Linked DNA regions of Lepisosteus oculatus. The protein of the gene in region 2 purifies or fractionates together with the protein of the main gene of each other region. This does not show direct contact. Links are inferred from orthologs where the notes say so. Each region holds a gene or a part of one and is shown on either strand. Other genes may lie near its edges.

Region 1 (7,590 bases), on a different chromosome or scaffold from region 2:
GAAAAGCATGTTATACTGTAGTTCTCTGGCCTCTGATCTCTAGATGCCCCCAGATCATCCTTCAAATGTCGCAAATTGTTACATTCTTATCTCACAAGAAAGGCGCATTTACATGAGCAATATGAGGCTGCATTACCCAGCAGGAATACTGTCCCATTAGGATAAGGTCCCAAGGCCTGATCAATGTACTGTAGCTCAAAAAAAAATGTACTGTAGCACCATTTAGATGGATTGCCATCAGTCACTATGAGTGGAGTTTAGTAGTGACTAGACACTTGCCCAAACCATCAAACCCAGATCTCTTCACCGCTCTTGGCAAGAAATGTGACTTGTGGTTTCCTTGATCATGGCCTATCATCAATGGACTGTGTTTTTGTTGTATTATCTTGCCAGGATAGAAACCGCTGGCTGTTTGAGGTTTTATTTCTTGATTTTCACCAGGCTCACATACAACAGATTAAATCACCACCTTGCCTTACAGCTATAATGCAAATGATCCCTTTTTATGCAGAGCACAAGATGGAACACAATAAAGACCTATGAATAAAATGTGTTTGATCATATTCCCAAAATTACCCAGGGGTTTAAATTTTCTGAATAAAGGCTTTTTAACAGATTTACAGTAAGTAAAAATATTTTTAACGTGTCATCGGCAGAGTCAAAGAAGAATCTTCTGCCCTCTCTAATCTATCCTTCCCGTGAGAACCCAATCCACATAGAATCACTTTGGTGTGACACTGGTAAAACCCATAAATCTCTAGATGGATTCTATAGCACATGACGCTAGGCTACTGAGGAACTTTAAACTCCCCTACCTTATTTAGTGTTTCACATTAACCATCTTGCACTACTGGACCTTGAACAGTCTGTGGTTTGTTTTCTGGATTTTGTGGCTGATAAATTGATATAGCTGAATGCAGAAGCAGAAGTGAAAATTAAGGAGGTGACTAGAACACATGCAGTCACCTCCTTTGAATAATATAACACCTAACGTCAAACTTAACAGCTATTACACAGTTACAGGAAGTGAAAAGGGTAGAAGAAGCGAAGTAAAGGCCGATGCACTTGATGTGCAAATAAGTTCCATGGGTGACCTCAAATGTCATTATCAGTGCTGTCATGCTGCGCCGCTGGAGCGCCTGCTGTCTTTGACTAGTGCCCTGTGCAGGACAGGAAGCATACCTTGGGGCAAGAACAGCTGGACTGCCCTTTGGTGCCCCATCTCCTCCAGGATCTCCAGCAGATCTCCCACGGTCTTGTTTTTCTGAGCCCAGCTCCACAGCAGCTCCCGGGTTGGGCTTTTGCCCTGCGCACACACCTTCTCCATGTAGCGCACCTCTAGCCAGTCAGGCAAAATACGGGCCGCTAGCAGGCAGTAGAAAAAAACACTTCAGTGGGCCAAAAGGAGCTCGGCGGCAACAGATTCAACACCAGTTACATCAGCCTCACATTTTTGAGAAAACAGGTGATAAAGTTACTGAGCAAGACAAAAAACAGAGAGACAGGTGAGTAGTGTACTACTAATGTACTACTGTACATTAAAACACAATAAAACAATCTTGATTCTGTAAAACAAATATAAAGAAGTTTAATTCTCCTCTCCATACTTTTAATTTGACCAGTCTGTCTCTTTCTTTTAAAATGCAATTTGCGTGGTTCTAAATCTAGTTGTAAAACAGAAACACTGTAGATTAACTGCATTTGCACAATTCTGAATACCCTTTTTCAATTAAGTACATATAACACTTATTTCAAAATCAAAATCCATTTCTACATACAATGCCAAACTACTTTTCTTTTTCAGGTTCATTATGTGTGCCAACTCCAGGACTTTCTAAAATGGGGAAGTTAAATGTTGCTTTATAGGTCTATAGTTATACAGTTTCATGATGAACAAACCTACTTGGTTAAACTTTTCTCCTGTTACACAACATTCACTTTAGTAAAACATTTTCATTGTAACCTTTTTACAAGAAAAATCGTTTCAGTATTTATTTTTGTGGGAAGGCATTTTTATGTTTTATGTTATGAAACTTTTAAAAGTAGAGGAATCTCTACTTTTATCTATCTCTGGCTGCTAGAAAAATAACTGATTTTAGGATATTGTTGTCTACAACATTTATGAAAAGCTCATTCCTAGACAGTAACATTATCAGAAAGCAATTTACTGGAGGTCATTTTGAGCTTCTCAACAATCTACATTATTTATTTACCAAAACAAATGTTTTTTCCAGTAGTGCTACTGTACTTAAAGTCACCATCAAGTAGATAGTCGATAATACTCCTGGGACGAAGTAAAAATGCGAACTGTGCCTTCTTCAGATATAACTGAGGAAATCATGTAGTTGAAAAGTAGAAAGACATAATGTTGTTCATTCTTTTTCATCACACAATTTTATTTTATTTCTAGTCATTGTGTTAGCAGACGTTATTTCTACTCCATCCTATTTTCCTGTTTGCAAGGTGCTGCTGCACGTCTCCCGAGAGTCACGGATAATTACCAGGCAATATTCTCTGGTGACTTACCTAGCCCTCTCCAGCCGAAGTCCCCATCACCGCTGTCGATGATTTTACAGAGCCTCTCCATCACGGATGGGGGGACGTCGAAGAGGAATGTCATACGACTCAAACACTCTGTTTTACCTGCCATTGTATTGCACTGTCAATCTGTTAGGACTGCCGTTCACGTTCAATTTCATAAACACATCCTTTTGAGTAGTACAGTACTCCAGAATAACACGCGTCTCCAGGTCCTGCGCTAACAACAGAAACTTAGAAGTGCCTTAAGCTCCACCTATGAAATGTAAGTAAAACTGCAGCTTAGCTGGTGTTCCAGAAACAAATCGCGGAAACGTATCAGAGATGTACAGCCCAATTATAATTGTAGGAGGTTTACATGGAACTGCTACTGTATCTCATCATCGTTTTGTTATTTTGGTTTATTATATTTGTTATGAAGTCTACATGGAAATCTCCATTTATCTGTTGCCAACGTCCTATTTTAAAATGAAAATATTTCCGCCTTTGTGAAATTGAGCAATAGCGGAACCTCCATTTTGACGTCGATACATTACTCACCCTAAGCTGTCATTCACTGAAAAGCATGAAGTTGCTCCATCAGCTGAGAAGCGAAATCAAGGCTTTAGGAGGCTGGACACTACAATCAAATATGGGATTTTGGTGGAGAATTTATTTTCCTCTCGAAGTGTATCCAAAATTTCTCAACCGATCAGTCTTCTATCATGTATTTTCCAATCGTAAGTAATTTGAGAAGGACGTTATACTGGACCAAAATATCCCAATTAAAGTGAAACACAATCTTTAACCAAAATAAGTCCAATGAGAAAGCATTTCTCATTTTACAATTGACCTCGTTAAATGGTAGTAATGGATTACCTCAGGTGAAATTCGTCTTTTTTACAAAAACACTGATGGTGTCATTTCTCTCTCTCTCTCTCGAACCTACAGGCGGTTCATTTCAGGGGAATACTTGTATTTTTCATAATATATTTGTACACATAACAGTTATGAAGACAATTATTAAAATTGCCAGTACACGTCCTGTTGCATAACAACTGAGAATTTGATCTCAATTGACTTTTCTGGTTGATTAAGTATTTAAATAGAAGTAAATAGATCTAGAGGTCACAACTGAGAATAGGCTGGGAATTTTTCTTTCTGAAATGCTACTACAGTACTGTAATGCAAATACACTACAATAATATTATGTATTGCTCTTTCTCTCTATCGTGTTCATAACAGACATGCTTTTTTGTATTTTTTTTTTCAGAATAAGAATGATCAAGAGTAGTGCAAATGTAGTACTTGAACGAATTGACCAGGGCTCCCATGAGGTGTAGAGGGGTCAAAGCATGAAGGGAAAGTTGACACGCATTTTAAAACAAATAGAAAGTGCTGCGTTAAAGAATCGTGTGCTTAAAAGAAGAAATGGCCAATTGATGACAGTGTCCTGCTACTTTATACCTTTTTTCACGTTTTCTATCAGTGACTTTTCTTATACCCTTGGTCAGCAGAGAAATAAAACGATTTTATCAGCGAAATAGAGGTGTTTTTTTAAGTGACACCAATTGCCACCCTCATTGACGGTGTACAAGATGCACTTAATATTTGTAAAAGGTTCCCGAATGACTGGATGGCCCTGTCAGTTGAAAAGAAGACAAAACAGATCATTTGACAGCAATCACTATGCAGGAAGGTCAGTGGATATAAAGAGCTGATGTAAAACCTCAGCCCAGGGCTGTCCTGTTTTTGTCTTCACTACAGGATCATCAGCAAGGCATGGTAGCTGATTGCCTCCCATTAAATCTGAGAGCCTTATTTGTCATCTAACACATTCTAGGACCTTCAAAGTTAGATAATTCATAATTATATACAGTATGTGTGTATGTCAGGGTCCACACCATTTGCTTTCAAGGGGACATTTGTTAGCTTCAAATGGGGGCTTGCTTATTCAGTGTTTTGATTACTTGCGTATCTAAGACTTATTCCACAAACCACTGGAGTCAGTGACAGTTGTATGAGGCAAGTGGGATTCATTTCTCTTTTCTACATTACTAAAACAAAACTAAATCTTTTCCATAGATCTGTATCCAGGGTTACGAGTTACAAGAAATGGTTAAAAGTTTTATTTACAACTTCAAACTACTTTTATATTTGATCATTGTTTATTCAGGTTAAGTGTATCCCATAAATCATGATCAATCTAGTGAGCAGGAACTCCACAAGAAGATATGGGTTTTACAAGAGTAAAACCTTCAACAAAATATCTGACTACAGATTTCTCTGTACTTTTTGGAATAACTGCTCCATGTAATGGAGGGTAAGGGATCAGGGTTCCCCATCTCATCAATCTGCTCTGTCTGGAGTGGTGCTGAATCTTATCTGTGCTACACTCGTATTCTAGCCTGGGTTACTAATATACTGTATTCCTATTGAAGAAAATGTGTATTGAAGTGTTTAACACATTTTCATTAAACTAGGAGCTATCCTTTTCAAGACAAATAGATTCAAATCACAGAAAATGATAGTAGGCCACTGAGATGACTTTCAGTTTATTCAAGTATAATTTTAAATAAAAATAAAAAGCATCAAAAAATATTTTTCCTTATATTCTCCATAAAGCATGGAACAAGTATTGTTCTAATTTTACCTAATTTCTTACTTTAAAGGACATACAAGACAATATTTGTCCAGGGTTTCATCTTTAAATTAAGCTAGCTTATTTTTTAGATTCATGGATGCTAAGATGTTTTTCCATTCAGGTCTTGGCCTATATAAAGGCCTTGTTTCACCCATATGCTTTGTTGCTAACACACAGAAAACAAAACAAAGGAAATGTTAAAAAAAAAGGGTGGTCATTTGGCATATTTCACACAATTCATTACTAGTAGCTTCAGTTTCCTGTGAGTCAGTGGGTTTCAACAACATGGGTGGGTAGTTTGCCTACTACCTTTTAGAGTACTTTTCAGTGCCTCTGAATTTTCTAACTGCATCTATTTTTAATTTTCACTTTTCACTCTGGCATTTACACTAGTGGTCTTGGGACTTTCACCTGATAAGCAATGTTTGCTGAAAGAGGAGCAGGAAACTCTGGGAGCCACTACCTTTAAGGTCTGTTCATTTTGCAAAGGGAAGCCATGTGAGGACAAAAAAAAATCATTTTTTTTCTTGGTGGTTTCCCTTCCCATTACACTTCCCTTTTATGATACAAAAGGATGACTATCACAGCAAAGACAGAAACAAGACCTTTGACAACACAACTGTCCAAACAGCAATGTAAGCATATTTTTCCAAGAATCAAACATCACTTTTGAAAGAGATTTGACCAAGGGTCTATTTTTGAAAAGATTTAAAAAAAAATCTGCTGTTTTTTAAGTTGACTTAAAATATTGGCTGTCTATGTTTGTAAATATCTACTTATCCCCTCCTTGACTGGCTCTTAGGGGTACCCATGGAATAAGAATTTCCAATGTTTCAAATGATTGCTTCTTTCCATTGTTGGTGTTAGTTATTTAGATGCTGAAAGACTGAAAAGTTACAGTTAAATATTATGCAGCACAGCCCCCTGCTGGAACAGACTAGAAGAACATCAGTTGCCATCTGTGGCACTTCAGCTTCACTTTGACTTGAAGCTGCACAGATCTGCCAGATGATCCAGAATGATTCATTGCTCTAAAATGTAAAATATTATCCTTTTAATTGCATGGAGATAGGGATTTTGAGTTCAAACTGGCACTCCTTCTTTGTCTCAGATGCGACAATGTGTTCAAATCCCCTCTGAAATGAAAATGGACCTGTTAAGAAAACAGACCCAGAACATTTCAGAATACATGACTAAATCCTTTTGATGATTTCTTTGTCTTTCAAGCAGGTTTACACAACGTTCGGAACAGCAATTGCTTTTTGTCCCACTTGAGGCTTATTTTATGTAGTGGTAATGATTGTAATTGCTTGTATTTGAATGATTACACAATACTTGACATACAGGAGGGGGCCCACTTCATCCACCACTGTAGGGCAACATCCATGTGGGTGACACAGGCAGCCATTTTGTGCCAGCAGTTCAGGTGGAGAAGTGAAACATTACTTCACTAGTTAAATTAAGTAGGGAAAGTATGGTCATATGGCAAAATTCTGGTGCCAGGATACCATGATCACATCCCCCACATGAACAGCCCCAGCAATCCGTAGCTCAATGTAATATCTATTCCAAACAATGATACGTCCTACACAATACTGGGACACTGACAGCAACATCTTCCCATCCAGTGCAAGGGGTGTCACTTGTCACATTAAACCTTCACCTTCACCTTGTCACCTTCAACAACAACCTGGCTTTCCTTACAGGTCGTCTGTCTCAGTACTGAGCAGGCTCAACTTGCTTTGTGTCTGAGATCTAACAAGATCAGGCTACAAGATGGTCACGCTGCTGTCATAAGAACATAAGGACGTTTACACACAAATGAAGGTTGTGTGGGCCATCTAGCTCATTTGGTTGCTAGTAACTAAGTGATCCAAGGGTCTCATCCATCTTCCTTTGAGGATTTGGAATGTCTGAATCACTTGCCCTCATAATCTTCTGTGTTTCAAACTAAATTATACACTTATTTTAGCCTGTCATTGGAGTGTAGGGCATTGTATTGAGGCTGGGAATTTATTTACATTTCAATGAATGTACAGATTCGCTCTGTGAATATTATTAATTCATCCATGTTCTAACCACTTCATCCAATTCAGGGTCACAGGACAGCCAGAGCCTATCCTGGCAAGCTACAGGCACAAGGCAGAATACACCTTGGACAGGATGCCAGTCCATCACAGGGCAGACACACAGACATAAACACAGACACACACTCACACCTGCACCGATTTTCCCAGAAGCCAATTAACCTACCAGTATGCCTTTGGATTATGGGAGGAAACTGGAACACCCAGAGGAAACCCATGCAAACACAGGGAGAACATACAAACTCCACATAGATAGCACCTCCCGGTTCAGTATTGAACCCAGGGACGGAGCACAGCGAGGCAGCAATGCTAAGCACTGCACCACTGCGCTGCCCTCTTTAA
Region 2 (7,977 bases):
GCACGCACGCACAGCCCAGCACGATCGCTGCAGCTGCTGAGTCTGAGTCCTGAAACACAGCTGAACGCCGGTTAAGACACGGGAGGACTCAGATCAGCCCGGATTTTAAAACCTGACCTTTCCGGTTCGGGCTGTGACACTCCGATTGAAACCCCTGAGTGTGGCGGAGCAGCGGCTCTGTGGCTCAGGAACCGCGCCTGTGGCTGGAAGGTTGCCGGTTCAAATCCCATGGCCGGCAGAGGATTGGGCCCCTGAGCAAGGCCCTTAACTCCAACTGCCGTATACATGGCTGACCCTGCGCTCTGACCCCCAGCTTCTCTCCCTGTCTGTGTGTCTCCTGGAGAGCAGGGTCAGCAATTCCTAATGTAAGACATTGTCTGTGGTGATCTTATCTTATCTATGTGTGCGTGAGGGGGGGGTACATGGAGGGGGGGAGTGAGAGGGGAGATGTTGAAGCCCTCATCAGTGGCGCTGCGACATTTATTCTCAATCTGCTACAGGAGACATACAGCTTACAAAGTAATATACGTTGTTCTACCAGCCCAATGCAAGATAAACATAGGATCCAGACAAATATCACTGCGTTTATACTGAATTTACACAGCTAGCTCCTCGCAACACTATGGGATGTGGAGGAAAAAGTGTCGTTATGCCTGAGCAAAAGGAATAAAAATAGTCAAACTTTCCCCTAAGGCACAGCCAGGTCCTCTCTCAGGGGCACACAGCACTGACATCACTGCTCCTGAGACAGCGCAGCCACCTGTGTGTTAAAACCAGTCAGCTGACTGCGTGTGAGCCAGTCAGGGGTTCCCCATCCTCGTTCAGAGGACCCCAACACCTGTTTTTGACCAAAGTCAAGATGGAACAAAGCCCACAGACAAACCAGTCCAACAGGACCAGAACTGGACCCCCTGCAGACACACACTGACCCTGCAGAACCAGACTGGACCCCCTGCAGACACACACCGACCTGCAGGACCAGGACTGGACCCCCTGCAGACACACACCGACCTGCAGGACCAGGACTGGACCCCCTGCAGACACACACTGACCCTACAGAACCAGACCGGACCCCCTGCAGACACACACTGACCCTACAGAACCAGACCGGACCCCCTGCAGACACACACTGACCCTACAGAACCAGACCGGACCCCCTGCAGACACACACCGACCCTGCAGGACCAGGACTGGACCCCCTGCAGACACACACTGACCCTACAGAACCAGGACTGGACCCCCTGCAGACACACACTGACCCTACAGAACCAGACTGGACCCCCTGCAGACACACACTGACCCTACAGAACCAGACTGGACCCCCTGCAGACACACACTGACCCTGCAGGACCAGGACTGGACACACCCGCCCTTAATCCTACTCTGGGCTCAGAGCTCACCAGGTCCTCCTGGATGTGTCCACAGGACTGAGAACTGATCAGGGTCACTGACAGGGAAGTGGAAGCCTGCACTGCAACTCCTATCAGGGGCAAAGTGGCAACACCGGGCCTAAAAGAAGACTGCCGCTGCCTCACCCAGACCCCTACGCACTGCTGAACCGTGAGACAGAGCACCAGGGGTGCTGAAGGGCACACTTCCCCTTTCTACCATGTTCAACACCCCGTGTTCATGTCTCGAAACACGGCACCCTGTGACCAGTTCTGCTTCCAGCTCTCTGGGGTGGGGGGAGTGGTCAGCCCTCTCCTCTTTGACCCCGGCAGCCAGGAGCAGGCCTGACTGCAGGAACTGACCTGCAGCTTGTCCATCTCTGCTCAGCCACGGTCATGTAGCCGGGAGGGGACCACTGGCCACAGTGAACATGGACCGGACCGGACTGGACTGGACCAGACCGGAGTGGGATGGATGAGGTGTGGGGGGGGATCTCCACGCAGGCTCCGTGGAATGCGCCACGCTCGGAATGCCAAGAATTCGCGTGGGGAGGGAGGCGAGATGAGCCGGGCCGATGTGGACGGGGCCGGAGCCGGACCCGTCCCGGCCTCAGGGGGAACCGAAGTTCCCTGTAGTGCCACGGGACCGGGGCGCCGGCGAGACGGCAGTTCAGGCCGTGGAGCACCACGCAGTGCCCGGATCGCAAGTGAAAATCAAGGCATGTCACCGGCGCAGCGCTGCAGAGCGCAGAAAGCGCCGCTTCTGACCCGGAGCAGCGCTCTGTAACACACTTGCGCAACCCCTCTAGTCGGGATCTTCAAGTCCCCCAGCCTGAGCTCCGCAGCGCCACGGAAGCTCCCATAACAACAACAACAACAACAACGCGACATCGTATTTTAACATAATTTCTTGTAACTCGGCAATCAATCCGATTTTGCTGCCTTTGAATGCGAGTTTAAGAATGGAAAGTCCACCATACACACTGTACAGACCCCGGTCCTGTTTAACCTGCTGCCCCCCCCCCCCATGATCACTGCAACGGGACCGCCTGGTGTCGTGGACCTGTCCGAAACGGAGCGGTTCGGTTCGGTTCCGTCCCGCCCAGCCCAGCCCAGCCCAGCCCAGCCCGCCACTCTGTCTCACTCCGTGCGCCGCAAGAGCGCACAGCTCAGCCCGGGGGGAAGCCGATTAGACACCGGCCGCTAGCCGGCTAGTCCCGGGACGGACCAACCCCCGCCGGTCCCGCACCGGGACCGCCAGTTCGGACGGGGGCTAACTCACCGAAACGCAGCCAGTCCGATCTGTCGAGGCTGTCCATAACCTTGCAGAACTCGGTCGTGATGTGCGCAGGCAGGCGGTACAGGTACTGCCCCTCGATACTCCCGGCGGACATTTTCGTCTGCTTCGGCTCCGGGCGGTTTCCGGGAGAAGTGGCCAGCGCCTTCCTCGGACTTACAACGGTCCCGTCCAAAACCATCGCTCCGCTGGCGGAGGCGGCGACTCCATCTGCGAGGTTCCACGCTACTGACTCACTTCCCCTTTAAGACTCAGAAGGACTTTTTTTTCTTTCGAAGGGGTTGGTTGGGCTCCGAGGAGGCGGGGAGGACTCCGGAAACGCGCTTCGGAAACCATGGAAACCTGGTCCTGGCCGGAAACGCCATCTTGAGTGTGGCGCACCGGGCACAGGGATACGCGACATCTCAAGGCGCTGCGTTCCCGTCTCGGTCGGTCCTCTCGCAGCTCAATCCCAACCATGACATGTTTACAAACGTACCGCTCTCTCACCCTCAAAAAAATAAAATATATATAGAGAGAGAATCATAGCGGAGAGATTACTAATAATAATGCTGATTTTGAGGCGTGTTCCAGTGGGAAGACATTCGACGTAACACAGTGCTCTCAGGCCCACTGGAATCGTGTTGTGGATTGAAACTGGTGTCGTAAAATACGGAGAACTGCCGCAGACAGATGGGCACCCTGTGCTGTGAAATATCAGTGTTCATTTCAAATATCCGCTTCAGCCTCCACATAGTGTCTGGGTGTGTTGTAACTGTCACCAGCGACCATTTTTGTCACAGGTAATAGTCCAAGTACAACAGTGAGTTAAAATGCCGGTTAAGACTCCAAACTGGGCATGAGATGTATTTCTGCAGGAAGAAACACCAAATTTCCAATTGATCCATCACAAGCTACCTGTTATTATAAAGTGACTCCCATTTCCGAATAACATATATGTCCATTTATTCGGTCTTCTGAGGTGGGGTGGCTTGAACTAGAAATAGCATTTATGTTTTTATTTTTACTCATATTTATGAATATGCTGTAATGCTCCAAAGATTTTATTGTCATTGGAAAAACCACACCTAAAGATAACAACAGTGATATAGCCAGCAGCCATATCACCCTGCAACTCACAACTGGCAACCCACTGAAGCTCAGCAGGTGTGAGCCTGGCCAGTACCTGGATGGGAGACCTCCTGCGAAAAACTAAGGTTGCTGCTGGAAGAGGTGTTAGTGGGGCCAGTAGGGGGCGCTCACCCTAATGCCCCAGTACAGTGATGGGGACACTATACTGTAAACAGGCGCCATCCTTCGGATGAGATGTAAAACCGAGGTCCTGACTCTCTGTGGTCATTAAAAATCCCAGGGTGTTTCTCGAAAAGAGTAAGGGTGTACCCCGGCATCCTGGCCAAATTCCCCCATCGGCCTTTATCAATCATGGCCTCCTAACAATCCCCCTCTATGAACTGGTTTCATTACTATGCTCTCCTCCCCACTGAGAGCTGGTGTGTGGGGAGCGTTCTGGCGCACTATGGCTGCTGTTGCATCATCCAGGTGGGGCTGCACATTGGTGGTGGTGGAGGGGATCCCCATTACCTGTAAAAGCGCTTTGAGTGGAGTGTCCAGAAAAGCGCTATATAAGTGTAAGCAATTATTATTATTATTATAACAAGCTCTCTCGCGCCCCAGAACCATCCACAGAAATGCCGTGATTGATTGATTTGATTTCAGCAAACACTAATTAAATGTTGCAGAGAGTCAAAATATTTGTGAGGTCTCACAGATCATGTCCATACAGATGCCGTCTGTAAAGCAGAAACCATTTTTAGCTCTCAAATCAATTTGTGTTAAGAAACGTTTCATTTAACATCTTTGGAGTGAATTCCACCCCTAAATGCTTTTAAGGAGCAATCAATGGCAATTAGTAATCAGACAGCACAGAAATTCCATTGAGGTCCAGGAATTGGGAATCGGAGACATCAGGAGGGGTACAGCAAAGTAGCTGAGAGTGGAGGAGTAGTAAGGGTTGTGGGTTCGAATCTCATGTGTCTGTCGACGTCAAAGAGCTGTTAACCCCTGGAGAGGAAAACAGAGCAGAAGAAGCAGTGAAGCCGACACAGTCCCCCGGACAGCAGAGCTGACAGGAAATGAAAAATGGCAGAATTCACTTTCAAGTGTGGAGACTCTGCCTCTCATGCTGTACACTGAATCTCCAATACCGAGAACTCCGCAGTACCCCCAGCTTATCATTCTGTTTCTGCTGTTTATGGCAACGTGCACCTTGGACTGTGAAGAGAGCTGATCACGTGCTAAACGTGATACGAGAAAAAAAAAAGAGTGAAGGAATAGCTGGTGGTCCTGTCTGTCATCCGATTTTGGCTGGAAAAACAAATGGGAGAGTCCAGACTGAACTGCGCAGCTGGAGAAGACATGTGGGGGTGCAGCACCTCTGCTTCCGGCCCGACTGCGCTCTGAAGCATGCTGCCAGGGGTGCAAAGAGCTGTTTCCGTGACACAGGGAGAAATGCAGATTTGAGATTAATGCTCTGGCCTCAATCCCATCAAAGCAATCTAGGAATACAGAAGGACGAGCATAGGGAGGGGGTTCAGAAACGGGGATGAGCTGTTTAGGTACCTTGTCCTATAATCATCAGCATTTTCTTCACCCACTTTATATCCAATTCAGGTCGCAATCCGGAGCCTATCCCGGCAGGCAGGTGGCGAAGGCAGGATACACCCTGGATGGGAAGCCAGTTAATTGCTGGGCACACACAGGCACAGACACTCACACCAGGACCTGTTTTCCCAGAAGCCAATTAACCCACCAGCATGTCCCTGGGCTGTGGGAGGACACCAGAGCGCCCGGGGGAAATCCACGCTAACACAGGGAGAACATGCAAACTCCACGCAGACAGCAACCCAAAAATTGAACCCGGAGCCCCAGAGCCGTAGGCAGTAATAACTGCTGTGCCACCATGCCAGCCTCCATGATCACCCATCAATAAAATAATAGACAGGCAGGCTGTCAAAAAAATCCAGGAGCACACGTGCAAAATATGAACCCAACTTCCTATTACATTTAGTCAACACTTTTTGGCGAAACGCGCTTTGCCTTTTCATGATCTCTCTCGCTGTACTGCACTCCAGACCTTTTACCGGCGGGATCCATATATTTTTCATTTATTGATGTACAATGATGCTAAATTAATACAGAGCTAGAAACAACCCAGGATGCAAACCGCATGCTGAAACGGGGTGAGCTCACTGCCAGCCGTGAAGACAGGCAGGGCACAGCACAGAGGGCAGATCGTTACTGCTGTTGCTATTATTACAGCCACGCAGTGTAAAGGCTCATAAGAGAGCATGCTCTTCTGAGAGCGCGAGAGGAACCGCGCAGGGCCTCTGTGCAGCAGAGCTTTCTAAGAAACGGGGATGTAAACTGTCATCCGAGCCGTGTGGGCCGCCTGGAAGCGACCTGAATAGCGGCGCGCTGACAGAGGGGGAGACCGAGCCCCCCCCCTCCCCCCCGCCTCTCTCTCTCCCACCCACTTGAATGGTGTGCTTGTTCTTGCTGCAGCAGCGGCAGCAGTTGAGTCATGCTGAGTGCATCCCGCGCGAACTGCCAAAAGAGCTCGGCGACCCCCCCCGCGCTCTTCGTCACAGGCGCGCTCCGCGGTCTGCAGCAGGAGGGAGGTGGTTGCGTCGTGTGTCGTCCTGACGGTCCTAGGATGTGTCTGTGTGTCAGTGTTGTGAATGTCCGCAGATGTTGCACTGACTCTATCGGCTCCGGCATTTTCTGTCATGGACCGGTCGTGCCAATAAAGCTGTTGCGATTTGAATTTTGCTGCCAGAGTGGCGTGGCGCTGTTTGCGTGCTCTGCCTCGCCCTGTCGAGCAGAAGGGCTGGAGAACGAACCTGAGAACAGGGGTTCGACCCGACTGGCTCACTTGCGGGCCAGCAGTTCATCAATCCGACTCCCCAAAGCAACCAGAAAACTGAAACTGACCCCAGGCTCCTCCCCGCCACCCTGTATTGGATAAGGAGGTCAGAAAATGGAAGGATGGATCTGTAACCTGGTGAAAAATTCCACACAGTGTTCTCAAAGCAGTCTCACTAGTGCCTTGCAAAGGTTTAACGTGACACCTCTCGAGCGTCCCCACATTGCCTAGAAGAAATAAATGATAAGTCAACGTAAATACCCAAGTCTTTCTCATCAGCTTTTTACACGGTTGACCGTGACATCTTACTTCCTCGTCTTGAGACTGTGCTGGGAGTTTCTGACGCTGCTCTCAAAAGGTTCAGGTCTTACCTCACTGATCGCTGTCCCTTTGTCTCTCTTAATGGGCGTAGGTCTGAAATTGGTCTTGTCAAGTCTGGTGTTCCTCAGGGCTCAATACTGGGCCCCTTGCTCTTCAGCATTTACATGTTTCCACTTAGTCAGCTTCTAAGATCACATGGCCTCAGCTTTCATTTCTATGCTGATGATACTCAAATATACATCCATACCACACCTGACACTGATGTGGCTGTCTCTATTCTATCTAATTGCATCTCTGGCATAACAACTTGGATGACTCAAAATTTCCTTCATCTTAACTGTGACAAAACAGAAGTCATGCTTATTGGTACCCCCCATCGACTTCGTAAAGCCAGTCCTGTAACCCTGTCTGTAGATGGCTCTGTACTTGAGCTTCAGTCTAAACTGAAAAACCTTGGGGTGATATTTGATTGTGGTTTAAGATTTGACCCACATGTGCAGCATATTGTCAAAACATATTTTTTCACCTCAGAAATATCACTTGACTACGCCCTATGTTATCACTAACTGTGGCTGAAAAGCTGATGCTCTACTCGCAGGGGTATCAAAATCTACTCTGAGCAAATTTCTGGGCAGCCTGAATCCTGACAAGGTCTAGTGCAAGCGATCACATTACTCCTGTCCTGGAGTCCTTGCACTGGTTTCCCGTCAAAATCTGTGGAGCCTTCTTCTGGCTCAGCGAGTCCTGTTTCGTGTGTAGAGTTTTTTTTTATGCCCTCATGCAGACTTTGCACTTGTCCGCAATAAAAGACTAAGCAATAAATAATACAAGTGTAAGCAATTAATTAAGTTACAGCACCGACAACGACCACTCGGCAGGTCCGCTTCCACACGGCAGCCGTCCACCCACCCACAGGCCGGGGACAGCACGGGCTCTGAGGGCTGAGTCCGCCCGCTTTGCCTGCAGAGCTAGAGGAGAGGTCGCGAAAGACCCGTGTTTTCATGTCCCTTCGCACAGCGGTGAAGTCAGTGGCGAGCCGGCCGAGCCTG
Region 3 (7,870 bases), on a different chromosome or scaffold from region 2:
CTCCACACTCTCTCCCAGTGTACCTGCTGCCCACACCCCCCCTCCACACTCTCTCCCAGTGTACCTGCTAGCCGGGCCTCCATGTTCTGTAGCCCCTCCTTCAGCTGCTGATTGGTCGGCTCATACTTCAGCCCCTCCTGATAGGTCAGTTTGGCCTCCTCGAACCGCCCCAGGAACTCCAGGGCAGCCGCCTTCCGCGAATAACCCTGCAGGGGCAGATGGGCGGGGGCGGGGTTACTGCACGTTACTACGGAAACCGCAGCACTGGCGGGAGCAGCCCTGCTCCAGCGCCACAGAAACCCAACAGCACTCCCCCACGCTGGAGACCCCGCAGTGGCGACCAGTCCCGGTCCAGGGGCAAGCCTTTCGAAACGCCCTCGCCGGCCCAGCGGGTTCTGCAGGGCCCGTCGCCTGGGTTCTGGAGTCGCTCGCCTCGCAGGGCCCCGCTGGCCCCGGGCTCCTGCGCACCGCTGTCCGGGGGCCCCCGGTCTTGGGGTTCCCCCCCTGACCGCGTTACACCTCACCCTGAACTCTTCATCCCTCGCCCTCTCCCTGCGCACTGTCCTGCTGTCTCACTGGACGGTCTGTCTGCAAACCCCCAGGGGCGCCTAGAACAGCAATACTGGTCTGTATGAGAGAAAGAATTTGGGAACTGGCCCAGGAGCCCCACCGAGACACGCACTGGACTGCGCACACACACACACGCTGACCGGTCTGTCTGGACTGCGCACACACGCTGACCGGTCTGTCTGGACTGCGCACACACACGCACGCTGACCGGTCTGTCTGGACTGCGCACACACACGCACGCTGACCGGTCTGTCTGGACTGCGCACACACGCTGACCGGTCTGTCTGGACTGCGCACACACACACGCACGCTGACCGGTCTGTCTGGACTGCGCACACACACGCACGCTGACCGGTCTGTCTGGACTGCGCACACACGCTGACCAGTCTGTCTGGACTGCGCACACACGCTGACCAGTCTGTCTGGACTGCGCACACACGCTGACCAGTCTGTCTGGACTGCGCACACACGCTGACCAGTCTGTCTGGACTGCGCACACACGCTGACCAGTCTGTCTGGACTGCGCACACACACACGCACGCTGACCGGTCTGTATGGACCGCACACACACACGCACGCTGACCGGTCTGTATGGACCGCACACACACACACACACCTTGCCCCAGTCCGGCTTGACCTCGACGGTCCTGCAGGCGTCCTGCAGTGCGCTCTGGTAGTCGCCCTTCTTGGCGTGAGCGGCCGAGCGGTTGCTGTACAGGACGTGGTTCCTGGGGTCGAGGGTCAGGGCCTCGCTGTAGCAGCGCACCGCCTGCTCCACGTCCCCCGCGCTCAGGGCCTGGTTGCCTCGATCCTTCAGCTCTGCCACCTGGGGGCAGGGGGAGGGGGACAGAGGGACAGGCAGGGAGATATTATTTTATTTTATCATTATTTTTATCTGCTTTGACAACACCGATCGTACCCATCGGTCATGCTAATAAAGCACCTTGAGTTGAAACTGAATTGAATTGAGAGGGAGAGGGACGGGACAGACCGCAAGAGAGAGGAACAGGGAGAGGGACAGAGAGAGAGGAACAGGGAGAGGGACAGGACAGACCGCAAGAGAGAGGAACAGGGAGAGGGACAGAGAGAGAGGAACAGGGAGAGGGACAGAGAGAGAGGAACAGGGAGAGGGACAGGACAGACCGCAAGAGAGAGGAACAGGGAGAGGGACAGAGAGAGAGGAGCGAGAGGGACAGAGAGAGAGGAACAGGGAGAGGGACAGGACAGACCGCAAGAGAGAGGAACAGGGAGAGGGACAGAGAGAGAGGAACAGGGAGAGGGACAGAGAGAGAGGAACAGGGAGAGGGACAGGACAGACCGCAAGAGAGAGGAACAGGGAGAGGGACAGAGAGAGAGGAGCGAGAGGGACAGAGAGAGAGGAACAGGGAGAGGGACAGGACAGACCGCAAGAGAGAGGAACAGGGAGAGGGACAGAGAGAGGGCGTTGGGGACCGGGAGAGGGACAGAGAGAGAGGAGCGAGAGGGACAGAGAGAGGGCACTGGGGACCGGGAGAGGGACAGGACGGACAGGAACAGAAGGCTATGGACTCTTCACACACGGACACCTACTCCACACTACACAGTGTCCCCGGCCACAGACCCGGATCAGGGAGAGCAACACGCTGGCCAGCCAGGAGGGGGCAAGACAGGACCGGGCAGCAGGAGGGGGGTGTCCGGGGGTCAGCGGGTCAGCAGGACAGGATCTCCCTGACCGGGACCGCTGCAGCCCCGCAGACTGCGACTAAACCCACCGCCCGCGACCTCGGCCTGTTCCAGACCCCCACCACCCTCCGTGTACAGCGGCGCCTCCCGTCCAGCCCGGAGACCGGAGAGCCTCTCGCAGAGACGGTTCTAGAAAGAGGCCGGGAGCTGGGGGGGGGGGCTCCCACCCGCGAAGGAAACGGTCACGGACTCCACACAGCGCATCGCTCCCCCTCCATTCCCGAGACCCCCCACCACCACCACCCAGACGAACGAGGGAATTCGGGGTCACGCCCGACACACTGCACCCCAAATCCACCCCCCACCCGGGACAGAGAAACCCCAAATCAAAACCTGCCCCCGGAAACAGCTCTACACGGCGCTCAACAACACTGTGGAGGGGCCCCTCCTCTCGCGAGCGGACTCGGGGCTCCCCGCCGCCGCCGCCGCCGCAGTGACCCCGGTTTCGGCACCGCGGGGCGGGGGGTCCCCCCTGCCGGGGAGCCAGCACGCCCCCGGACTGCCCCGGGCAGCGGGGCTCACCGCCCCCAGCGACCCGGCGCGCTGCCATCACACGGCTCTTCCAGACGGCGGCCTTTTCGGGCGCCTGATAAGGAAAGAAAAGACACAGAAGGGCGCCCGGCCGCTGGCGAACTCACCTTCTCCATCGCAACAGCCATGAGGTTCCAGAAGCTACTGCGAACTGACAGCCTCCCCGCCCCGCCCTCGCCCTCCTATCATTGGCGCAGGGGAGGCGGGGAGACCGCCCGTGCCGCCATCCCACGGGCTGCCCCGCCCGTCAGTCCGCAGACCCCGGCGCGGCGGATTGGCTGTCGCCCACGTCCTGTCCCGCCTCCCCTTGCCGACGCCGGGCCGGTGCGCTCCCCGCTCCCGAGTGGAGGGCGAGGGCCGTCCGTCAACCCAGGGAGGGGGACGTGATTGGGTCCTGCTGGAGCGGAAAGGGTTGGGATTGGCCGGGCCGGGGGAGACCCGCCCACCTTCTTCTACGCACGGCTATCGGGGGGGGGGGGGCAGCTTGGAAGTTTCTCGACCTATCAGCTGCCAGGGTTCTAGAAAATTCGCACTTTAAAAGGGCGGCTGCGGAGAAACCTCGCTTCTGATTGGTGGGATGGAGCAAGGCACGGTGGAAGTAACCGGCCTTCTCATTGGCTGTCAAGCCTCGGCGACAGGAGGGCGTGTCTGAACGGAGGAAAGATCGGGAATTAACCAGGAAATGTCCGTCTTGCTGTTATAAACTGAAACAATGCGTGTTGTTTACTAAAACCCGTAGGTTTCAGGAGATTGGCTCTGTTGTGGCTCATACCCCACGACTATCCTATCCGTTTCTTAGGGCAGTGGCGTGCGGTGTAGTGAACGCAGGACTAGAAATCGAGATAGGGAATGATTTTGGATAGAGAAATGTGATAAAAACATCCGGGAGATGATGGCTGAGACCATAAACCCCTTAGATCTGGAAGAACGTGGGTTTTGATGATGCACACGACGAGTCTCTTGTTAGACCACGATCTGACTACCTTGCCAAAAACTAAACACACTCATTTTAAAATTCTTCACAAGCACGTATCCTTCTCTGGGAAGGAAATTCCTCAGAAAAAAAGGTTGAAGTTTGACTGACTATTTTCTGTGAGCGTGAAATTGGAACAACTGGAGTCCCATGTCCAGCTTTCTGGCGTTCTGGTTGTTCCTGGTTAAAATGTAAAAACATTTGTATACATTCAACTTACAATGATGTTGTGTTTAGTGTTCTAAGTAAAAATAAAGAAGTGTGAATTTAAATTGTGTAAGTGTAGAGCGCTTTAAACGTCTGTATGCTCTAAAGAATTTATAAATTCAGATAACGTGTATTTATAACAGGTATTCTGAAAATACCCTTGGGAATCTGGTTTGCAGAAACCTGCCTGCATACAAGCTGGTTATTTTATGAGACATCTAAAGCAAGAACTCTAGCTGAGTTGTTATTTATTTGATGTTGTTGTTGTTGATTGCTTACGTGATGTTATGTTGTAAGAAGTGGGAGCACAGCCTGTCCTCTCTGGGCAGCCAGGTCTGCCTGTGTCCAGTGTCTGTGTCCAGGCTGTGGTCACTGAGCCTGTCCTCTCTGGGCAGCCAGGTCTGCCTGTGTCCAGTGTCTGTGTCCAGGCTGTGGTCACTGAGCCTGTCCTCTCTGGGCAGCCAGGTCTGCCTGTATCCAGTGTCTGTGTTCAGGCTGTGGTCACTGAGCCTGTCCTCTCTGGACAGCCAGATCTGCCTGTGTCCAGTGTCTGTGTCCAGGCTGTGGTCACTGAGCCTGTCCTCTCTGGGCAGCCAGGTCTGCCTGTGTCCAGTGTGTGTCCAGGCTGTGGTCACTGAGCCTGTCCTCTCTGGGCAGCCAGGTCTGCCTGTGTCCAGTGTCTGTGTCCAGGCTGTGGTCACTGAGCCTGTCCTCTCTGGGCAGCCAGGTCTGCCTGTGTCCAGTGTCTGTGTCCAGGCTGTGGTCACTGAGCCTGTCCTCTCTGGGCAGCCAGGTCTGCCTGTGTCCAGTGTCTGTGTCCAGGCTATGGTCACTGAGCCTGTCCTCTCTGGGCAGCCAGGTCTGCCTGTATCCAGTGTTTGTGTTCAGGCTGTGGTCACTGAGCCTGTCCTCTCTGGGCAGCCAGATCTGCCTGTGTCCAGTGTCTGTGTCCAGGCTGTGGTCACTGAGCCTGTCCTCTCTGGGCAGCCAGGTCTGCTTGTGTCCAGGCTGTGGTCACTGAGCCTGTCCTCTCTGGACAGCCAGGTCTGCCTGTGTCCAGTTTCTATGGCCAGCCTGTGGCCATTGAGCCTCACCCACATCTCTGACATCTACAGCGGGACTACAATTCCCAGGAAGCGTTGCGGCGCCACCAGCTCCGCGAGTTGACCTTGCGCGACTCTGCTCCTGTTTGAACTCGGTGCGCACGAGAGGCGGGCTGGTCTGAGCAAAGCGAAACCGAATCCCCGGACCCAGGAGCGCCTGTCTGTCAGAACCGAGCACCGCTGCGAGAATGGCGTTTCAAATTTCATCCCTGGCCGCCCGGATCAAGCTCCCCACACTTTCTCTGTCTGTCCCGTCCCGCAGCCGGATCTGGAGTTGGGGGCTCGGTTCCGAGCTGAAACGGGGCTCGGGTTTCGCCGGAATCCGCGCCGAGCCGAGCCGCCGTCAGACTGCAGGGAGGCTGCCAGCGCTGGGTAGACAAGACAGTCAGGCCGGTCGAACTCGGACCGGCGGCGCGTGGCTGGTGTGCCGGGTCTCGGCCCGGTTCGGTGCGGCGCTCGGTGCCGCGGGTCTCGCCTCTCTGCACACCGGACGGGTCTGCGCCATGGCGGCGCGCGGCGGCGGCACCATCGATCTGGACTCGCCGGACGGCGACTGGGAACGAGTCAAAGGTGAGAGTGCGGGTCCGTCCGGAACCAGGGTCCACTGTAGATCAGGGCTGTGTGAGCAGGGGGTCTATGGAGTTAATCACACTTCTGCACACTGGGAGTCTGACAGCACTGTCACACCTGGAGCGGATCAGACTGCTGCGCACTGGGAGTCTGACTGACAGCACTGTCACACCTGGAGCGGATCAGACTGCTGCGCACTGGGAGTCTGACTGACAGCACTGTCACACCTGGAGCGGATCAGACTGCTACACACTGGGAGTCTGACTGACAGCACTGTCACACCTGGAGCGGATCAGACTGCTACACACTGGGAGTCTGACAGCACTGTCACACCTGGAGCGGATCAGACTGCTGCGCACTGGGAGTCTGACTGACAGCACTGTCGCACCTGGAGCGGATCAGACTGCTGCGCACTGGGAGTCTGACTGACAGCACTGTCACACCTGGAGCGGATCAGACTGCTGCACACTGGGAGTCTGACAGCACTGTCACACCTGGAGCGGATCAGACTGCTGCGCACTGGGAGTCTGACAGCACTGTCACACCTGGAGCGGATCAGACTGCTGCGCACTGGGAGTCTGACAGCACTGTCACACCTGGAGCGGATCAGACTGCTGCGCACTGGGAGTCTGACTGACAGCACTGTCACACCTGGAGCGGATCAGACTGCTGCGCACTGGGAGTCTGACTGACAGCCCTGTCACACCTGGAGCGGATCAGACTGCTGCACACTGGGAGTCTGACAGCACTGTCACACCTGGAGCGGATCAGACTGCTGCGCACTGGGAGTCTGACAGACAGCACTGTCACACCTGGAGCGGATCAGACTGCTGCACACTGGGAGTCTGACTGACAGCCCTGTCACACCTGGAGCGGATCAGACTGCTGCGCACTGGGAGTCTGACTGACACACTGTCACACCTGGAGCGGATCAGACTGCTGCGCACTGGGAGTCTGACTGACAGCACTGTCACACCTGGAGCGGATCAGACTGCTGCGCACTGGGAGTCTGACAGCACTGTCACACCTGGAGCGGATCAGACTGCTGCGCACTGGGAGTCTGACTGACAGCACTGTCACACCTGGAGCGGACCAGACAGATCTCCTGTCCCTTCAGCTGTGACTGAGTGTCTCTCTCTCTGTCCAGAGCTCCTGGGCTCTCTCAGCCAGGAGGAGAGGCGCAAGCTCTATCGCACCCCTGACTTCCTGTCCCTGGAGGAGATCCGCACCTGGAAAGCCACAGGTACGCCCAGCCTCACGAGCACCCCTTCCTCTGTACCCCAGGTCTGTCTGCTGTACCCCAGTACTGCCTCTAATGTCATCTGTAACCTAATGCAACCTCCTGCGCCCCAGTATTGTCTGCTATACCCCAGTGTTCTGTACCCCTTAATGCCTATTGTACCCCATTAATATCATCAGTCTCCCACAACATAATACTCTCTTGTGTACCCCAGTACTGTGCACTGTACCCCAGTACTGCCTCTTGTAACCCACTAATGTCATCTGTAACCTAATGCAACCTCCTGCGCCCCAGTATTGTCTGCTATACCCCAGTGTTCTGTACCCCTTAATGCCTCTTGTACCCCATTAATATCATCAGTCTCCCACAACATAATACTCTCTTGTGTACCCCAGTACTGTGCTCTGTACCCCAGTAGTGCCTCTTGTAACCCACTAATGTCATCTGTAACCTAATGCAACCTCCTGCGCCCCAGTATTGTCTGCTATACCCCAGTGTTCTGTACCCCTTAATGCCTATTGTACCCCATTAATATCATCAGTCTCCCACAACATAATACTCTCTTGTGTACCCCAGTACTGTGCTCTGTACCCCAGTAGTGCCTCTTGTAACCCACTAATGTCATCTGTAACCTAATGCAACCTCCTGCGCCCCAGTATTGTCTGCTATACCCCAGTGTTCTGTACCCCTTAATGCTTCTTGTACCCCATTAATATCATCAGTCTCCTACAACATAATACTCTCTTGTGTACCCCAGTACTGTGCTCTGTACCCCACTGGTGCCTCTTGTAACCCACTAATGTCATCTGTTACCTAATACAACCTCCTGCGCCCCAGTATTGTCTGCTATACCCCAGTGTTCTGTATTCCTTAATGCCTCTTGTACCCCATTAATATCATCAGTCTCCCACAACATAATACTCTCTTGTGTACCCCCGTACTGCCTCTTGTACC
Region 4 (7,945 bases), on a different chromosome or scaffold from region 2:
CATGAGGCATTCAACGCTATCAAAACTGTTGAATGCATTATTGCATTCCCTACTAAATCTTTCATTTCAAACCCATGAGTACACGGTGCTTGTGAACTTCCTTTTTAAAAAACCCAATTGCATAAGGTTTAGTTTGGGTTTTACGTTTTCAGGCACTATGGAAAGCCAAGCAATTCTACAAACTGGGCTCCCCTTATGAATACAGTCAAAATAGGTCAAAAGTTAGATTAATCTAGCAGAGTGCTCTTGTTTTAGCTTGTACTCATTCTGAAAGTTCATTATGAGTAGACAGAGTGAGCATATTTCCAGGTTTATTTTAAGAAATTTTAACACTCCTACCACACACACAGATAAGACACACTTCATGTACATTATCACATTAAATCATCTTTTTAAAACTGAAAGGCCCAGTTTCAATAGGAATTCATGGGTCCAAAATATACATCCCAGATAATTAAATTCAATAGGTCAAAACTGGAAAGCAGGCACTTAACAAGAGTTGTGGGTCAATCACAAACTCTGCGCAAGCCGAGACACGTCTTCACCAAAAGGTTATCTTAACACGTTAGCAGATTACTGTCCCAGCAGAAGTGGGACTCCTTTACATGATCGTTTATTACCCATTGATGTGTTAATGAGGTCACCCCAGCTCGTAAAAGAAGTTCTCTGCGAGAGATCTTAAATCAGGCGTGATGCCCTTGTGGTAAAGAACAGCCGATCTAAGGCGAGAGCACTAGATTCGTCAGACGACAAGGAGCAAAGCCGGCTGTCTCAGAAACCAGGCTTCACAACTAACCCCCCGCTGTCTGTTTTCAGTGAGGCTGGTCTACCCGCTCTCATTAAAAGTGACTCCGATAATCATACTCCCGAGTACCGAGTGCACTAAAAATAGAAGAGAACCGCGCTTCCTGATTTCTAGGATAACAAGACAGGGAACAGACAAAACAAGCGCACACGGCTCTGTCTAGTTGTATTAAGAGGAGACAGACACCGTGAAAAGAGATGAGTAATACATCCCGCTGGTGGCACACCGACAGGAGCCAACTTCGAACTGTCTGGGTGCCGGACGGGACCGCGGCGTGGGAATGAACGACAAATCATTTCCTAGTCTCGTTAGGGGGAGAGAGGGAGGAAGGGTGGTTGGTGCTAAAATTAAAACTCGCATCAAATCCCCCGAAAATGTTAATCCCCGGGAAAGGAAGCACATTAGCGCTCTTCGGGAACATCCTAGGGCTTGCATAATCTGGCGATAATTATCATGTATGAATCACCTCGGCTCGCTCTGGAGCGAGCCTGCTCCACGTGACCGCTCTTCTCCCGGCCCGTGCGGTCGCCGCCGACCTGCACAGCACCCTCAGCCCGCCAGGGATCGAGGCCGGCCCGCAAACTCCTCCACATCGGCTAGACCTGAGCTCACTGAACCACCGGACGCGTCGTAATGGGGGGGGTCGGTGGCCTTTTTGCACCGCTCATCTGCAGCCGTTTGTATCCAGGGCACCGCGTTCACACCTCATACCAAGTGCTACTTCAACATAACCGCGAAAGCGATGCGATAAGGGCGGGGGGGTTAACACATCGGATAAGGGCCACAGGGCATGAACTTTCGATTCAACTGAGCTGCTCCAATCTGGCCCAGCGGTAGCTCGATCATGTGGGACGCCTCATGTGGGAGATGCCTATTCCTCCACATCACCACGTTAGGGATAGCGAACTTGGTCACTTCGCAAACTAACATCCCGGCTGCGAGGGCTCGAAAGCACACGGCGTGGCACAATAACCCACCGCTGGAAAGCGGGTTGGGGAGGGGAGAGAAACACGGTCAAGCGAGGTAGCTCACGAAAAGAAATCCCGCGATTAGTACAGTAGCTAAGACTTTTCCCAACCCCTCCCCCCATCTCTCCCTCACCAACTACTGTAACCTACATCCACGCCGCGAAAGACCCGATCCGCACGCAACCAGCCCAACAGCTTCGGAAATATCTGGGACCGCGACGTGTGCGCCTCTCTAAAAAGAAAAAATATCCTCGACTTCTGCACGCCTCGCCTGCCGCTCCAAACGGATCGCCCACGAACTGGGACTTGCCCGATTCCCGGGAATGTGCGTTGGGGAGCACATTTCCAGAGGACATTCCCCAACCGCGTTTCCTCCCCCTCCCCTCGTTTAACCCACCGAGGAAATCAGAAGCGCCAGCCGCTTACTGAACCGGTAACGGTTTCTTTGTTTTTCTGTTTGTTTGGGGTTTTTTTTTGTTCGTTTTATTCGCGGCCGAACATGCCAAAGAAGAGCCCCCCCCCCCTCGCTCGCCGCCCGGACAGCCGCTCCAGATGGCTTTTAGGGCTGAACGGGGGACGCCCGTGTCGGTCGCGCTAGGCGATTGTTTTCTTCTCCGGCAACTGTTCTGCCTCGAACTGCCCGAAAACAGACAACTAACCTCCGGGGGAAGACGTCGCGACGAGAGGCGCCCTGTCAGCGATGACAGGTACGTGGCTAGGATGCGCGAACAGGTCCGAGTTTGTGTCCTCGCAGCGCGGAAGAGTCCTGTACAAGTGAGTGATGTGTACGGCACGTATCCTCTCCCAAGTTCGGGAGCACCGCAAGCCGACGGATCCCCCACCTTGTAACCGTCTTTTCCCCACTCACCCCAGCACGACGAGCTCCCCGTACTTCACCGGTTCCTTAATGGGGGCGCAGTTCTCCTCCTGGTTCGGCGAAAACATCAGGCTTTTGCAAACTACGCAGCTCACAAAAACCAGTCGTCCTCACCGCTGGCGGGGGGAAACACATACACACACAGAGAGAGCAGGGAAACCCTTCACAACGAGTGGGTTAGAGCCATCTGTCACGTGTAGCTGCCGCCGCGTCCGCCGAGAGGTGTTTCTCCGGTGAGTCGGCCGGCTCTGCTCCCGTCTGCTTAACGTCTAAAACGAGGGAGAAACTTTTGTTTTGAAGTGCCTCCACTACACCGCGTACTTCTCCACTTGGCCGCTGGATGGGCTCTGAAACAGCGACACAAAAACAGCCCAGAGCAGGGGCGGGATGTACCATCGACCACACCTTGCTCACGGAGGGGGAGAAAGCGTGAGCAGGCTTTCATTTGAACAATGACGTTTCCCCAAAACGCGCCTTCGTATAGAGTGTTTTATATTTAAAGCAGCATTATTTCTCATAATTATACGTCTTTTCTCCGTTATTAGTTATACGCAACGCAATATGGGGTTTTCTTTTGCCTTAACCCCCCCTCTAGTTCTCCACATTCTTGACTCTTGGTGCGAGGTTGGTCCCTGCTGTTATGTAAACAAAGAGTAAAAGAGAGGGGATTCTTAAAGAGATAAACCTCTTGCCCTCTGTCATGTGGGAAATTTAAAATATTCTAAGCCGTTTATTTTTCTGCCGGGTTATTTTATTCGAAGAGAACTGGCAATACAGCGGCTTCACAGGTGAAGGGGGTCTATCAAGCCTAGCCCAGCAGAGAACGTATGGTTTACATTAGTGAAGTAGGACAACAGTTAGGATTCATTGAGGTAGTTGTAAAAAAAAAAAAAGACAGAGCCCTGCGAGAGTATTGAAGGAAATAAATAGGGAGCGGGGGGGGGGGGGGGGTGCTTAAAATTGAAAATATTTATTTAGATCAGTGACTTGTAGCGCGAAAGGAGTTTTGGTTTGAAGCTTAGTCTTGCTTCTTAGGAGTGGGTGTGACCACCTGGGTGTGTCAGGAGGGGTGTCTCCAGTACTCCAGCCTGTTATTGGACTATACCATTCAAACGGGGGGCGGGGCCACAGTGGTGCTGTGAGATTTTGCTGAATGAAATCCTGTGAAGGTACAGTTAACAGGTATAAAACAGGAAAAACACCCTGAGCTAAAAGAATACCTTAAATCGCTTGAATGTCCTGTGGACCGGAGATTAACCTGGTCTCGATCAGCAAGAAAAAAAAGTTTCTAATAATATTTTTATTACCCAAAGAAATAAAAGAAGACGGAATTGGAGACAATGTACTTGGATAGGATGGGACCGATAGTTTTTAAGGCATTTTGCGACTAAGATAACATTAAATCCGGCACCCCGTGCACACTGCAAAAGCTGTTGTCAATTTACAGAGGAGATCGTGACATGTTTTTTTTATGCTAAAAATCACAAAACCTGCTTATGGACTTTCAGTGTATCAGAATAAATAAAACGCCCTTGCTGAATGAGGAGAACTAATGGCCCGTTTAGGAGCAAGCAGAGCGGCGTGATCATTATCAGCCTAGCCTGCCTGTCGGGAGATGAGCTGTGCTGTTGAAGAACATGGCACCATACACACATTAAAACAACCAAATCTGTTATAAGAAGCTTTGTGTGTTCAAGGTTTCCAGGTGTGTGGAGGCTTTCTAGTGAAAGAGACTAACCAGGAAAAAACAGTCACAACAAGAGGTTGGAGGCAGCAGATGCATAAACTATTAATGTAAGACGGGGGCACTAAGCACTGAGGAATGCCTTCAAAAGAAATCATTTTCACCATCTTGACGACGTGGGACAGCAAGAAAAAGCACCAACAGAATGTGCGCATATAAAAACGCAGTTGAAACGCAGAATTGTAATCAAGTGATGTTGTTTAAACTGTAAGATGCAATAAAGCAAAAATGTGTCCAATTATTGTCGTGATGTTAAAAAAAAAATATGCTGCCCTGAAATCAGCCTAACAAAGAGCCACCAGGCGCTGGTGATCACAATCCTCAAGCTTCGGATCCAGCAGTGGAACAGGAGAACAGGGTTCGCAGTGCAAACTGAGAGGACGTGCACTTAAATGTGGGGGCAGGAGACACTTTCCTGACACAGAGAGTGGCGGGAGTCTGGGACGGGCCGCTCAGCCATGTGGTTGAAGCTGATGCCCTGGATTCCTGTGAGAAACGGCTGGATCAATGTGTTACTAACTCCCCACAGGTACGGCGTGCCTGCCAGACATCATCCTTGTCGTATGCAACTGTTCTCATGCTCTTGTTTCTTTTTGGGCCGCGAGTCTGGGGTGAAAGGAGTGATAGTAATAGGTTATATTTATAAAGCACCTTTCCAAGCATGATGTACATAGTGGTAAAACTGGGGCGGAGCGGTGGCTCTGTGGCTAAGGACCTGCACCTGTGGCTGGAAGGTTGCTGGTTCGGATCCCGTGGCCCACAGAGGAATCCTGCTCCATTGGGCCCCTGAGCGAGGCCCCTCAACCCCAACTGCTCCAGGGGCGCCGTATAAATGGCTGATCCTGCACTCTGACCCCAAGCTTCTCTCCCCGTCTGTGGGTCTCATGGAGAGCAAGCTGGGGTCTGCAATAAGACAAATTCCTAATACAAGAAATTGTGTAGGGCTAATAAAAGTGAGCTTTAAAAAAAAAAAGGAAAAACGAGCATACATGTTGATACAGAATGGGGGGAAAACAAGTAAAACACAAAGTGCGTTTTGAGTTTGGATTGGAAGAGAGTCAAAGTCTTTGTCTCGTAGAGTCCAAGGAAGGGCATTCCATAACACTGGAGCGGCGACAGAAAAGGTCCGGCACGGGAATGTTTGTGATTGAGTCCCGGTACAGGGAGGAGAGGAGTAAGTGGGCGGAGGACAGATGCTGGGCTGAGGGCTGCTGAAACTCTCTCTCTCTCTCTCTCTCTCTCAGTCAGCAGGTCTGTCACAAGCACAAAGCCAGAAGCCCCACCCTGACTTCCCCCTCCCCACGGCCCCCTGCTCTCCACCCACGTGAAGCCCCTCGCACTCCCTCACATGCGCAGTCGCACTCCGCCCGGTCCTGGGCTGCTTCTTCAACGAAGCCAGTGAGCCTTTTATAATGGCAGAAGCCACTGATGACACATCCTAGCCAGAGCGCAGACTGAGCCTGATGCAGCCCCGGCCAAGTATTAAAGGCTTCTCCTGTTTTGGGTATGGTTGTCCCGTTTCTTAAAAACAATTACAGAAAGGTGGATACAGATACTAGATTTGATAAGATTAATGTAATCTAAAAACACTGACAGAAATACTCTTTCCAGCTCTGACACGTCTTAAAATTGTAAGAAAATCTACGAATGAAAGGAGGTCATTTAGCCCATCGAGGTAATCTGTAGTTAGTAGCTAATTGATCCAAGGACCTGATCCAGTCGGCACTGCTGGGTAGCTTGTTCAAAACTCCCACAGCTATTTGCACACAGAAGCGCACCCTGTTCCTGTTTTCAAACCCCTTTAAATGCGCTTCCACATTCTAACCTCTGGTTCCTCTTTCCCTCTTTCACTGTTGTTTCTGGACTGACTTTGTCAGAGCCTTCGGTGAATTTGAATACAGATCTCTGTTCAAAACTAAAAAAGGTTCAGTTATTTTAACCGGATAGTGTAGGTCCAGGCATCAGTAAGCATCATTGACCTGACTGTTTTCCCAGGGCATAATTGGAAAGAGAGCATGATTCCAGATTTCAATTGGAAAATAGTGTCACATGTCACTATTACTTCCCAGCCTGTGGTTACCCCTGAACATGTACATCTACAGCAGGGATGCCCAAATCTGCTCCTCAGGACCCCACTGCCTTTCTGTATTACACTTCAGCTTGAGCTATAACTGAAATGAAACCTCATAAGGGTTCTTGGGTTTTCTCTTCTAGTTTTTGGGTCCTAAAAAGTAAAGGTGTCAAGGTAGTGATAAAATCTTGTAGGTGTCTGGAAATGATGACCAACTATTAACATCCCAAAAGAATGAATAAATAAATCACTTAAATTCATTAACTGATGGCTCAGCTAGAATAAAAACCATGCATAGACCGGGATCTGCTGCCTGTGGTAAGACACTGATGCGTACAGCATGGGTAGATGATCATTATCTGATGCCTGTGGTAAGACACTGATGCGTACAGCATGGGTAGATGATCAGGATCTGCTGCCTGTGGTAAGACACTGATGCGTACAGCATGGGTAGATGATCAGGATCTGCTGCCTGTGGTAAGACACTGATGCGTACAGCATGGGTAGATGATCAGGATCTGCTGCCTGTGGTAAGACACTGATGCGTACAGCATGGGTAGATGATCAGGATCTGCTGCCCGTACTCTGAGACGGTGAGGTTTGCTGCAGGTAAAGCACATCTCTTCACTGTCAGTGACACATTGCACGGTGCTCCGTTCCGGTCCAGCTGGAGAGCAGGTTTTCAGCAGGGCATGTTTCAAAGTTCTTTTGTAAAAAAAAAAAATCCCCCCCTTTATGCATGGGGATAGATATATCAGTTCATCTGAGTGCATAATGAGGTCAGATACATAAGTAAAAGGTCCTCATTGATCAGAATACGTTCTGCGCTTCTCCCTTCATGAAGATCCTCCCTTTTAAAAACTGTGACACAATTTGTCTCTTCCTATATTAAGCTGAAAATATCTTCAGGGTTATTGTTAGAACAAGCTCCCACTTCGCTCCCTCCCATTGTCCACAGCTGCCCACACTTCACAGACCTTTAAACCCATCTGCCCCATCTCCTCCCCTCCACAACCCTTGTCTTCCATGTGGTAATTAACCAGCAGATCAATTTCAATTTGTGCAGGTCATTGCTTCAGAGTGGAAGGGAGCCTGCAAGGCCTGTCTCTCTCTGTGTGTGTGTGTGTGTGTGTGTGTGTGTGTGTGTGTGTGTGTGTCTCTGTGTGTGCGTGCGTGTGTCTCTGTGCGTGTCTCTGTGTGTGTGTGTGTGTGTCTCTGTGTGTGTGTCTCTGTGTGTGCGTGTGTGTGTGTGTCTCTGTGTGTGCGTGTGTGTGTGTGTGTCTCTGTGTGTGCGTGTGTGCGTGTGTGTGTGTGTCTCTGTGTGTGTGTGTGTGTGTGTCTCTGTGTGTGCGTGTGTCTCTGTGTGTGCGTGTGTCTCTGTGTGTGCGTGTGTCTCTGTGTGTGCGTGTGTGTGTGCGTGTGTGGTAGAGAGGGAGCCTGTGCAGAGCTGGGCATGCTGGTCTCTGCGAGAAGACCAGAG

The links.
Region 1: the proteins of irak1 (region 2) and irak3 purify together in Homo sapiens (co-immunoprecipitation; 3 studies listed by BioGRID and IntAct, with this or other methods). This does not show direct contact. The link is inferred for Lepisosteus oculatus from reciprocal best matches to the Homo sapiens genes IRAK1 and IRAK3.
Region 3: the proteins of irak1 (region 2) and stip1 purify together in Homo sapiens (affinity purification with mass spectrometry; 3 studies listed by BioGRID and IntAct, with this or other methods). This does not show direct contact. The link is inferred for Lepisosteus oculatus from reciprocal best matches to the Homo sapiens genes IRAK1 and STIP1.
Region 4: the proteins of irak1 (region 2) and peli2 purify together in Homo sapiens (affinity purification with western blotting; 7 studies listed by BioGRID and IntAct, with this or other methods). This does not show direct contact. The link is inferred for Lepisosteus oculatus from reciprocal best matches to the Homo sapiens genes IRAK1 and PELI2.

The regions. Positions count from the first base shown.
Region 1 is NC_090702.1:24,395,226-24,402,815, forward strand, and holds the start of irak3 (interleukin-1 receptor-associated kinase 3), read right to left. Parts: upstream 3,003-7,590; 5' UTR 2,651-3,002; coding exon 2,527-2,650; intron 1,366-2,526; coding exon 1,183-1,365; intron 1-1,182. UniProt on the Homo sapiens protein: Putative inactive protein kinase which regulates signaling downstream of immune receptors including IL1R and Toll-like receptors.
Region 2 is NC_090697.1:75,465,897-75,473,873, forward strand, and holds the start of irak1 (interleukin-1 receptor-associated kinase 1), read right to left. Parts: upstream 3,004-7,977; 5' UTR 2,867-3,003; coding exon 2,671-2,866; intron 1-2,670.
Region 3 is NC_090713.1:22,892,629-22,900,498, reverse strand, and holds the start of stip1 (stress-induced-phosphoprotein 1), read right to left. Parts: upstream 3,046-7,870; 5' UTR 2,952-3,045; coding exon 2,931-2,951; intron 1,397-2,930; coding exon 1,187-1,396; intron 207-1,186; coding exon 65-206; intron 1-64. Other genes in the region: ADP-ribose glycohydrolase MACROD1, read left to right, coding at 5,295-5,676, 6,824-6,919. UniProt on the Homo sapiens protein: Acts as a co-chaperone for HSP90AA1. Mediates the association of the molecular chaperones HSPA8/HSC70 and HSP90.
Region 4 is NC_090703.1:10,179,981-10,187,925, forward strand, and holds the start of peli2 (E3 ubiquitin-protein ligase pellino homolog 2), read right to left. Parts: upstream 3,011-7,945; 5' UTR 2,719-3,010; coding exon 2,642-2,718; intron 1-2,641. UniProt on the Homo sapiens protein: E3 ubiquitin ligase catalyzing the covalent attachment of ubiquitin moieties onto substrate proteins. Involved in the TLR and IL-1 signaling pathways via interaction with the complex containing IRAK kinases and TRAF6.